Danio rerio: one gene and its partner. The protein of the gene in region 2 interacts with the protein of the main gene of each other region in a biochemical or structural test. Links are inferred from orthologs where the notes say so. Each region holds a gene or a part of one and is shown on either strand. Other genes may lie near its edges.

The links.
Region 1: the proteins of efl1 (region 2) and sbds interact in a biophysical measurement, tested with the Homo sapiens proteins (2 studies listed by BioGRID and IntAct, with this or other methods). The link is inferred for Danio rerio from reciprocal best matches to the Homo sapiens genes EFL1 and SBDS.

The regions. Positions count from the first base shown.
Region 1 is NC_133190.1:1,934,864-1,941,244, reverse strand, and holds the end of sbds (ribosome maturation protein SBDS), read right to left. Parts: intron 5,367-6,381; coding exon 5,166-5,366; intron 4,589-5,165; coding exon 4,424-4,588; intron 2,482-4,423; coding exon 2,353-2,481; 3' UTR 1,790-2,352; downstream 1-1,789. UniProt on the Homo sapiens protein: Required for the assembly of mature ribosomes and ribosome biogenesis.
Region 2 is NC_133182.1:12,338,421-12,344,301, reverse strand, and holds part of efl1 (elongation factor-like GTPase 1), read left to right. Parts: intron 1-2,231; 5' UTR 2,232-2,240; coding exon 2,241-2,331; intron 2,332-2,992; coding exon 2,993-3,060; intron 3,061-4,228; coding exon 4,229-4,313; intron 4,314-4,396; coding exon 4,397-4,530; intron 4,531-5,400; coding exon 5,401-5,538; intron 5,539-5,881. UniProt on the Homo sapiens protein: GTPase involved in the biogenesis of the 60S ribosomal subunit and translational activation of ribosomes.

The DNA.
Region 1 (6,381 bases), on a different chromosome or scaffold from region 2:
GACGGTGTAGTACTTGCGCACACACACAATAAGCTTGCTAATATCATCTCAAGAAGTACAGGTACACAGCATCCGATATGCCTTTTTTATAGACCTTTTAATAACAAATAAATAAACAAAACAGTGACCTTAATTAACTTAAGCTGTGTTCAACTAAGCAAATCCACATATTTTACAGGGCTCTCCTCGTGTTTTTACTGATATATGAATGCTGTTGGGATTAAGCTTGTTTCATTCTGTCCTCTCATATAATTGTGTTGAACACATCTCTAGTCTCGGAGTGAATGTAAAACCCGTCCTAACTTTCTTAAACTCCCAGCTCATTCATTACAAACATAAATGTTAATTTTATACATTTTTTTAGGATTGTTTTCCTTTTGCTTCATGTACTGTTGTAAATTGTAAATAAGATTCAAATTTTAAATGTTCCTTTTTATATATTAAAAGATGCTATATAACTGTTTGTGTGTGTTTATTTTAAGTGGGACTTTGAATGCAAACTTTGATGCCCAAAACTGAAACCAAGGAGAGAAACTACGCGTACCGGCCACTTTATTAGGCACACCTGTCCAACTGCTCGTCAATGCAACTCGCTGCATTCAGGCGTGTAGACATGGTCAAGACGATCTGCTGCAGTTCAAATCAGGCATCAGAATGGGGAAGAAAGGGGATTTAAGTGACTGTGAAAATTGCATGGTTGTTGATACCTGACTGTCTGGTGTTTTTCAGAAGCTGCTGATCTACTGGGATTTTCATGCACAACCATCTCTAGGGTTTACAGAGAATGGTCTGATAAAGTGGTAATATCCAGTGAGCGGCAGTTCTGTGGGCGCAAATGCCTTGTTGATGCCAGAGGTCAGAGGAGAATGGCCAGACTGGTTCCAGCTGATAGAAAGGCAACAGTAACTCAAATAAGCACTCGTTACAACCGAGCTCTGCAGAAGAGCATCTCTGAACACACAACACGTCCAACCTTGAGGCGGATGGGCTACAGCAGCAGAAGAGCACACCGGGTGCCGCTCCTGTCAGCTAAGAACAGGAAACTGAGGCTACAAATCACACAGACTCACCAAAACTGGACAATAGAAGATTGGAGAAATGTTGCTGCTCTGATGAGTCTCCATTTCTGCTGACACATTCAGATGGTCGGGTCAGAATTTGGCATCAACAACATGAAAGCATGGATCATCCTGCCTTGTATCATGTAATGTAGGTGTAATGGTGTGGAGGAGATTTTCTTGGCACACTTTGGGTTCATTAGTACCAATTGAGCATCGTGTCAACACCACAGCCTACCTGAGTATTGCTGCTGACCATGTCCATCCCTTTATGAGCACAGTGTCTTCATCTTCTGATGGCTACTTCTAGCAGGATAACGCAGCATGTCATAAAGCTCAATCATGTCAGACTGGTTTCTTGAACATGACAATGAGTTCACTGTACTCAAATGGCCTTTTCAGTCACCAGAGCTCAATCCAATAGAGCACCTTTAGGATGTGGAGGGATGGAAGATCGGTATCATGGATGTGCAGCCGACAAATCTGCAGCAACTGTGTGATGCTATCATGTTAATATGGAGCAAAATCTCTGAGGAATATTTCCAGTGCCTTGTTGAATCTCTGCCAAAGGATTAAAGAAGTTCTGAAGGCAAAAGGGGGTCAAACATGGTACTAGTAAGGTGTACCTAATAAAGTGGCCGGTCAAGTGCTATTAGTTCACACTCAATAACTTTACATAGAGCACACTGACTGCACATTGTAAAAAAAATTCATTCAGAAAAACAACTTTGTAGAACGCAGAACAATGTTATTTATTTTAGTGTTAAACCAAAGAACAACGAATTTCACCTTCAGTCTAAGCAGAATCACAGTTTATAGAGGTTTATATAGAGGTTGATGCTTATTTATTTAAATACTACAAATAGTGAATGTAAAGGGAGTCTTAACTGTGACAAGATAAAGTTTCTCTGGCATCAGATTAGACAATTAAAACTTTTAAATTATTTTCTACTTTCTTCGTAGATTAACAAACCCTGCTGAAAATGGGAATTCGGCACCTCAGATTTAAAAGAAAGCAAAATAATAATATTAATAATAAAGATGCACTCTTGCAGAATATCATATTTTGACTTCTGTTATTAATCAAAATAAATATGTATTCCATTTTCACAGAAAATAAAATGTGGATTTTATTACTATTTTAGAGTCTATTATTAACAATGTATTGAAATACTGATGCAGTAGCTGCTAATAGTTTGGCCACATTCAAACTCCAACAGTCGAGCAGCCCATATAAAATAAATCAGCAGTAGTTTAATGTGTTAAAGAAAGCAGGTGAAAATAAATGAAGTGTTTATTCGAGTTTCTCATCCCCTTCCTCCACATCTTTGAGACTGAGCACCTCAAGAGTTCCCTTTCCTTTGGTCTCACAGCGGATGAGCTCATCAATATCCCGAAAACAGCCTGGATCTATCAAACACACCTGAAAGAGCAAAAACAACTCCTGTAACACATGGAGAATACGGATAAAATGTCAAAACCTGTCTATCTACTTCTTGTCTGATGGTTATTTCCCTTTTAAATTAATAGATCATCTATTTACTCACACTGAAACCTGTAACCATTCAGTGCCATAGTAGGCAAAACAAATACAGTACTGTGGAAGTCAAAGGGTACAGGTTTCCAGCATTGTTTTAAAATTACAGGGAGGTAAAAGGTGACAATTTAATTCCTGCGTGAACTATCCCTTTAACGCATGTCTTGAAAAACAGATCAACAAAAATCTTTACACAAATGTACATTATTGACTTAAAATCGCTGACTTCTGGGGGCTGTCGAATGCACGTTCAGTCACACACGGAAAGAAAAAACAAAAAAGTTTAAAAGCAGACGGCGCTTTAGGCTAGTGTTTAACAGCAGACGGCGCTCTAGGCTAGTGTTTAACAGCAGACAGTGCTCTAGGCTAGCGTTTAACAGCAGACGGTGCTCTAGGCAAGTGTTTAACAGTGGACGGCGCTCTAGGCAAGTGTTTAACAGCAGACGGCGCTCTAGGCAAGTGTTTAACAGCAGGCGCCGCTCTAGGCTAGTTTTTAACAGCAGACGGCTCTCTAGGCTAATGTTTAACAGCAGACGGCGTTCTAGGCTAATGTTTACCAGCAGATGGCGCTCTAGGCAAGTGTTTAACAGCAGGCGGCGCTCTAGGCTAGTTTTTAACAGCAGACGGCGCTCTAGGCTAATGTTTAACAGCAGACGGCATTCTAGGCTAATGTTTAACAGCAGATGGCGCTCTAGGCTAGTGTTTAACAGCAGACGGCGTTCTAGGCTAATGTTTACCAGCAGATGGCGCTCTAGGCAAGTGTTTAACAGCAGGCGGCGCTCTAGGCTAGTTTTTAACAGCAGACGGCGCTCTAGGCTAGTGTTTAACAGCAGACGGCATTCTAGGCTAATGTTTAACAGCAGATGGCGCTCTAGGCTAGTGTTTAACAGCAGACGGCGCTCTAGGCTACTGTTTAACAGCAGACGGCGCTCTAGGCTAGTGTTTAACAGCAGGCGGTGCTCTATGCTAGTGTTTAACAGCAGGCAGCGCTCTAGGCTAGTGTTTAACAGCAGACGGCGCTCTAGGCTAGTGTTTAACAGCAGGTGGCGCTCTAGGCTAGTGTTTAACAGGAGACTGCGCTCTAGGCTAGTGTTTAACAGGAGACTGCGCTCTAGGCTAGTGTTTAACAGCAGACGGCGCTCTAGGCTAGTGTTTAACAGCAGACGGCGCTCTAGGCTAGTGTTTAACAGGAGACTGCGCTCTAGGCTAGTGTTTAACAGCAGGCGGCGCTCTAGGCTAGTGTTTAACAGCAGGCGGCGCTCTAGGCTAGTGTTTAACAGCAGGCGGCGCTCTAGGCTAGTGTTTAACAGCAGGCGGTGCTCTAGGCTAGTGTTTAACAGCAGGCAGCGCTCTAGGCTAGTGTTTAACAGCAGGTGGCGCTCTAGGCTAGTGTTTAACAGCAGACGGCGCTCTAGGCTAGTGTTTAACAGCAGGTGGCGCTCTAGGCTAGTGTTTAACAGGAGACTGCGCTCTAGGCTAGTGTTTAACAGCAGGTGGCGCTCTAGGCTAGTGTTTAACAGGAGACTGCGCTCTAGGCTAGTGTTTAACAGGAGACTGCGCTCTAGGCTAGTGTTTAACAGCAGGCGGTGCTCTAGGCTAGTGTTTAACAGCAGGCAGCGCTCTAGGCTAGTGTTTAACAGCAGACGGCGCTCTAGGCTAGTGTTTAACAGGAGACTGCGCTCTAGGCTAGTGTTTAACAGCAGGCGGCGCTCTAGGCTAGTGTTTAACAGGAGACTGCGCTCTAGGCTAGTGTTTAACAGCAGGCGGCGCTCTAGGCTAGAGTTTAACAGCAGACGGCGCTCTAGGCTAAAAAAAACTGCCGACTCACCATTTCCAGCTGGTCGTCAAAGTCCTCATTTTCCACTGCCTTTATTAATGGTTTGAGCTTCTCCTTCAGCCTCTTCCCATCCTTGGCTGGCAGGACGAAGCGCAGGCGCATGTGAGCTCTCTGGATCTGAATGGATTCCTTCAGCTGCTTGATGACCTCAAGAGCCTGCAGGGGGAGACGCTGGTTTAATTATTATCATCAACACCTCTATTTAGAGTCAGTTCTTCAGTAATCATGATGTGGTATGTAGATCAACAAAATCATGTGATGATGAAATGTGTGTGATGGGATGTATTGATGGACTTTGCAGCGTTTCCAGCACAGTGTAAAACATCTGAAATGTTGCTCCGGTCTGTCTAAAAGCCCTCAGCTGTCAGTCCGTCATCACAGTGCTTCAGTAGTATTATTATTCTCACCAGAACCGTCTTGAGCATCTGTCTGTGCTCCCAAAGAGCGTGTCACGCCTCCAAAAGCCACAACATTAATTGCGTTTTGGCTTCTGAGGCGCAACTCATTTATTAGAGCAGAAAAAAACACCACCGTAGCAAATCCCAACACACTAAACTACATTTCTCTGACTGATATCTGCTCCAGTTTATCAGCAAGTGATGATTTTGTTCTATTTAAACGCTGGTTTATTCACTAAAGTTTTATGCAATATTCCAGTTTTGTGCATGAATCTAATTCACATCTTTGAATGGAAGCATAGCTACAGATCCTCCAATGATCAATATCTACTGACCTGCTGTTTAGTGCTTTTGTTTGCTTTAACAGAGAAGTGGATGTCCTTCATGGCTCTCTCTATAAGGTTCACTGTGTAAGGCCGCTTGGTCTCAGGATTCACACATTTTTCAGCCACAATAGTTGCAATATCACGAAACATCTGCTCCAGTTGACTCTGTCGTTCCTTGTCTGATACCTGCAGTTCTCCTTTGGACAAAATCTGGAAGCACAGACAAAAATAACATCGATTTATGAAACCGTTAAAGATTTGTAAACAACATTTTCCTGCTAAATAGATTGCTATGTTAGGGAAACAAGTATATGCAGAAGGTTGTTATCGCAGAATAAAGTCTGCCAGGTTTATCAGCAGCCCGTTATAAAGACTGTTTCTGTGAAAACAACTATCCTGGATGTACTTGATCTTACTTATTACACGGCTACTTGCACCAAAACATAAAAATTAGACACAAAACATAGCTATGAGCCGTAATAGTTTATTAATTCTATAATCAAACACAAAGCTGACAGAAATTACAGAAACAGCTGATGGAGTATACACTAACCTGCAGATTATTCAGACACTAGATGGCCCCAAACAGTCAAAAACACAAAGCTGACAGAGACAAAACCTTCTTAACGGAGCATATACTAACCTACTTATACTATTCAGTCAGAAGACGGAGCATAACAGTCAAAAACCACCCATTAATAAAACTGTTAAAGATTTGTAAACAATATTTGCCTACTAAATAGATTGCAATGTTAGTGATCAAGTACTTGCAGAAGGTTGTTATCGCAGAATTAAGCCTGACAGGTTTATCAGCAGCCCGATGTGAAGACTGAAGGGCTTTATTCTGCAAAAACAACTATCCTGGATGTACTTCATCCTACTTATTACATGGCTGCTTGCATTAAAACATAAAACTTTGACACAAAACATAGCTAGGAGCCGTAATAGTTTATTAATTCTTTAATTAAACACTAGGACGTTAGAAATGTATACAACAACCTGTGCATTCAGACACTAGATGACGGCAAACAGTTAAAAATGCAAAGCTCACAGACACTAAACCTGCTGAATAGAGTATACACTAACCCAGGTATATTATTTAGTCACAAGACAAAAAATGCAGCATGACAGACAAGCATTTACATGTGAATGTAAGTATATGGATATAAACATATTAAGTCACTGTGATTCTCAGCTCCCAGAGAAGCATGTGTTATTCAGCGGT
Region 2 (5,881 bases):
AACAGATCACTCAGATCTTTAGGATCATATAAACTAGAAGTTCCAAGAGTTCAGTCAAAGCAGGGTGAATCAGCTTTCAGCCACTATGCTCCTCGCTGCTGGAATCAGCTTCCAGAAATGATCAGATGTGCTCCAACAGTAGGCACATTCAAATCAAGACTGAAAACACATCTGTGAGCACTGTGCTGCGTCCGACAGACCACACTATTATGTTTTTCTCTTGTTCTTCATTCTTTTATATCACATTTGACCTGTTTTTATGTTTTTTTACTCATTTTTATTATTTATTTTTATTTTTATTTTACTTGTTTCTTTTATTCTTGTTTATGTAAAGCACTTTGAATTGCCACTGTGTATGAAATGTGCTATATAAATAAACTTGCCTTGCCTAATTGAGGTGAAGTTGGTTTTAAATTCGCACATTCATTTAGTGACAACTTGTGACACGCTCTTTGTATTGTTTACCATGGTACTTTAAATATTCGGTCTGAAATCGCATGTAAATATGACAACATTAGCACAATTTATTTGGCTGTGTACAATGTTGTTGATAGTCACTGGCTGCTAATATGATTTTATTATTTAGTGTGAATATAAAACCAACTTTACCTCATTCATTTTGCTGGTAATCGACTTTCACTCATTCTGTCATTTATATAAAAAAAATAAGTTTGAGTTGAGGTAAAGTTGGTTTTATATTCGCACATTTTTTCAGTGACAACTTGTGACACACTTCCTATATTGTTTACCATGGTAATTTAAATATTCACTCTAAACTCACATGTAAATATGACAGCATCAGCACTATTTATTTGACTGTGAACAGTGTTGTAGGTTACTTTGATAGCCATTGACTGCTGAAATGATTTCAATGTTTAGTGTGAATATAAAACCAGCTTAAGCTCAATCATTTAGCTGGTAATCGACTTTCACTCATTCTGTGCCACTCATAAAGAAATCACTTGTAATTGAGGTGAAGCTGGTTTTATATTCACACACTCATTCAGTGACAATTGTGACACGGTCTGTATTTTTTTACCGTGGTACTTTGAATATTCGAACAAAAAAAATCACATGTATGACTTCAAAACATTAGCACTATTTGTTTTGAACTTTGATAGTCATTGGTTGCTAATACGATTTGCAAATAATACTTTCTGAAATTATACTATTAAGGAGAAAGTCAGAATGTGTGAATATAAACCAACTTTACCTCAATTAAGTTGGATATGTAAACTTAAAAGAGTGGAATTTTAAAGAGAGACACCACTCAAAATATTTTCCCTAAATAGGCTTGTCGGCTTTAAAATAATTAAACATTCATTCATTCATTCATTCATTTATTCATTCATTTTCCCTCGGCTTAGTCCCTTATTTATTAGGGGTCGCCACAGTGGAATGAACTACCAACTATTCTGGTATATGTTTTATGCAGTTGATACTTTTCCACCTCCAACCCAGTACTAGGAACACCCATACACACATTCACACTTGCACTCATACACTATGGCCAATTTTGTTTTACCCAATTTACCTATAGTGCATGTCTTTGGTCTGTGCGGGAAACCCACTCGAACATGGGGAGAACATGCAAACTCCACATCGAAATGCCAACTGTGATGTGATAGTGCTAACCATTGAGCCACCGTGCCACCCCAATGAAGAAACACTTATGAAAAATAAATATTTAAAATCAAATTGATGCTTGCCCCTCCACATTATTTTGGAAATTTTTTTTATGAGAGCTATTTTAAACCTATAAATATCAAAGATACCGGAGCGGTAATCTAACTATACTATACTATACTAGCACTTTTTTCTTAGGACATAAAGGTATTGTGCAAAGAAGGCATTAAAGGTTGATGAAAACAAGTAGTGGAACATGGTTGGATGGTGCATTCACAAGTAAACATTGCTTTTTTTTATTGAGGCCTTTTAAACTGGAGTTTAAGTAAAGTGTCTGGTGCATGTGGAGAAAGTTTTTAGACAGATGGTTTGTCAAGCCCACTCACCTGTGTGTGGCACACTCTGAAATGCACAGTGTTTTTATAGAGATGTAGAGTGATTTTAAGAAAGTATACCTTGAACAGCATTTGTAGATGTCACTTGTGTTGTATTCTAGAATTAAATGAATACATTTTAAGCTATTTATAAGTCCCAAATATTTTTGGGGTGTTAATTTTATTTGTGTTTATTCTACTAATAAAGTGCTCTTCGTCTTCTTGATATAGAAAGCAACAATGGGTCACACGAGTTTGGAGAAGATAATTGCACTGCAAAAGAAAACGGCACACATTAGGAATCTGTGTATTCTTGCTCATGTAGATCATGGTAAGTTTGAAAGTTGCCGATTTACAGTTGAAATCAGAATTATTAGCCCCCCTTTGAATTTTCTTTCCCCAAATGATGTTTAACAGAGCAAGGACATTTTCACAGTATGTCTGATATTATTTTTTCTTCTAGAGGATGTCGTATTTGTTTTATTTCGGCTAGGATAAAAGCAGTTTTAATTTTTTTTTATATTTCTATTATTAGCCCCTTTAAGCAATTTTTTTTAAGTCTACAGAACAAACCATCAATATACAATAACTTGTCTAATTACCCTAACTTGTCTAATTAACCTAATTAACCTAGTTAAGCCTTTAAATGTCACTTTAAGCTGTATAGAAGTGTCTTGAAAAATATGTAGTCAAATATTATTTACTGTCATCATGGCAAAGATAAAATAAATCAGTTATTAGAGATGAGTTATTAAAACTATTATGTTTAAAAATGTGTTAAAAATTTTCTTTAGGTTAAACAGAAATTGGGGAAAAAGCGAAATAAGCGGGAGATGAGGGGTAATAATTCAGGGACTTTAATAATTCTCACTTCAACTACATACATTTTAATGCTTATTTATTTATTTATTGTTATAGTCATTAATAGTCAAGTATCTACTGCCAGATTTTTATATTTTTGTATAAATTGAAACATTGTGTGTTGTCTATAGGGAAGACGACGTTAGCAGACTGTCTGGTGGCCAGTAATGGTATTATATCCAGTCGTTTAGCAGGAAAGGTAAGTGTACATTCTGGAAAATGACCAGTTGTTAGCCTAAAAACAAAGTACACACAATAAATTATACTTTTTTTAGCATATGTTGATTGTTTTTTTTTATTTAATTTTGATGTATTATTATTTATTAACTCTGTGTATTTAAAATGATGTGTTATTAACTAAAACTAGAAATATAAAACGTTGCTTTTGTGATTGAAATTAAGCTGAAAGAAAAGAATTATAATAATACTAAAAAAAAGCTTTCATCATGAAATTTCAGAAATACTCATTAAGTTTCAGAAATGCTCATTAAGTTCTCAAAATACTAAAACTGAATAAAATATATTAACTCTACATTAAATTTAATAATAATTATTATATATACTGTACATGTATTATCTAAAATAATTGACTAAAACCCACAATTGATTTAATGCATCTTACAATGTATCTTTAATATCATCACTGTTGTTGTGTATAACTATAAAAGAAACAATTCATAAATAAATAAAATAATTAATTAAAGTATTGCTGAAATAAAAAAAAAGATATTAAATAGAAAAATTATATTAGATGAGAAAATTGTAAGGTGAATACCAACAAAACTGAAATAAAATACATTAAAGCCACAGTGAATAATAATAATAATAATAATAATAATAATAATAATGATGATGATGATGATGATGATGATGATTATGATTATGATAATACAAATTATTATTATTATTATTATTTCTTAAAAAAACATAAAAATATTCAAGTAAATAATAAATATTTTTTTCAGTACTGGGTTGCGACTGGAAGGGCATCCACTTTGTAAAACATATGCTGAAATAGTTGTAGGTTCATTGCACCATTGTGACCCCTGACAAATAAGGAACTAAGCCGAATGAAAATTACTGAATGAATCATAAAAAATACATTTAAAAGTTGAACTAATTATGAATTATAATTAAAATAAATGATTGATAGACAGACAGACAGACATTTACATGACTTTTTTTATGTCAACCGCTGTCCTTCCAAAATTCAAAATTGTAACTATCCATAAAATAATATTTTGAAAATAGTATTACAGTACACTCATACACACACACCCCTGTTGGTTTGGAGTTGAAATAAGACTCATACAATTGAAGCTCACCATCTTGTCTGTCACTGCTGCTTTCTGTCATTGCTCCTGTAGCTGAGATATCTGGACAGCAGGGAGGATGAGCAGATCAGAGGAATCACCATGAAGTCCAGCGCTATTTCATTACATTTCGCAACAGGTGATGGCCATCGTGGTCTGTATTGTTTTTACTGATTCGACACGATGTACTGCTCTGGCTTATGTTTGCCGTTGTCATTGCAGGAGGAGTGGAGTTCCTCATTAATCTGATCGACTCTCCCGGTCATGTGGACTTCTCCTCTGAGGTGTCCACCGCTGTCAGATTATGTGACGGGGCCATTGTTGTGGTCGATGCTGTGGAGGGAGTGTGTCCGCAGGTATCATCCAACATCGAGAGTCTTTTCACTTGTTTTTCGTAGATTAGACACACAAAGTGCATAGAAATTAAATGCTTTAAAAGTTACACTGTAATTCGCCCAGCCTCATGCTTTTTTTGACTTGTATGTAATAGCATACGTTTGACCATCCATAACAAATAGAGAAAAAAAGGGCGAAATAATATATACAGTTGAAGTCATAATTATTAGCCCCTGTATAGTTTAATAGTTAAAATAACAAAAACAAAATATCTCTTTATAATGAAATAAAGAGACCCTTAAACTTGATAAATAAAATGTTACAAAGTGTGTACATTGGTAAAGTGTAAATGCTGAACAATCAAAGCAAACTTTAATGTGTCAATAGTAATGATACAGTAAACCTCAAACTCTGTAAACAACACTAATTATGATAATCAAATCTGAGCTTTCAAGTAAAGGAACCAGCCATCATTATTCAAATACATATTGCAACATTACAAACTGTGAAGTTGGATGGCTATATTACCCCCTATGTTAAAAACTCTTTCAGATGGGGAGCTAGTGGCTGAGATAAACAAGAAAAGAAACCAAAAAGCCACTCTGGCGACATCCTTACATTCTTTTTTATTTACAATCTCCTCATTGCTGCTATATGACACTCGTTTTCGCATGTGCGGTTATTTTGACCTGAAGTGGCAAGCATGATTGCGTTGTTATTTTCCCCATTTTGACTATATAAAAAATTTTCAATCATGGATTATGGGTTCCAGATCCTTAGAAAAAAATAAATGTTTTAGTGTAATGTAGCTTCAGTGTGTTAATATCACTTTTATAGCATGTCACCATAACAGCCACTCTTCTTCTTCTTTTTTTTTTTTGCTGCTTTAGACGCAAGTTGTTTTACGACAAGCTTGGTTGGAGAATATCCGCCCTGTTCTTGTCATCAACAAAATCGACCGGCTGATTGCGGAGCTAAAGCTCACTTCACAGGAGGCGTACGTTCACCTGCAGAAAATACTAGAACAGGTGAGGCAGAGCACACCTCTATTGATCAATGAGTTTTTAAAAGGTTTTGCATGTGTATATTTTTCATGTGTTTTGTAATTGTTATGTTATAAAGTTATTAGGATATTGTTATATTTTCAATCAACAAGAACAGAGAGGGAACAGTAAATTAAACTATAATGCTACAAAAATATAGATATTATTTGTTTGCAATAAATCCTGCTGTTTTAAACTTCTGTTGTTAAAACAGAAAAAAACATTTATTTTATATAAACTATAAAAAAAAATTTATTTACTACAAAAATATAAGCGTGTTCAACATATATAGGTGGGCATAGATTCATTTTTTAATCTAGATTAATCT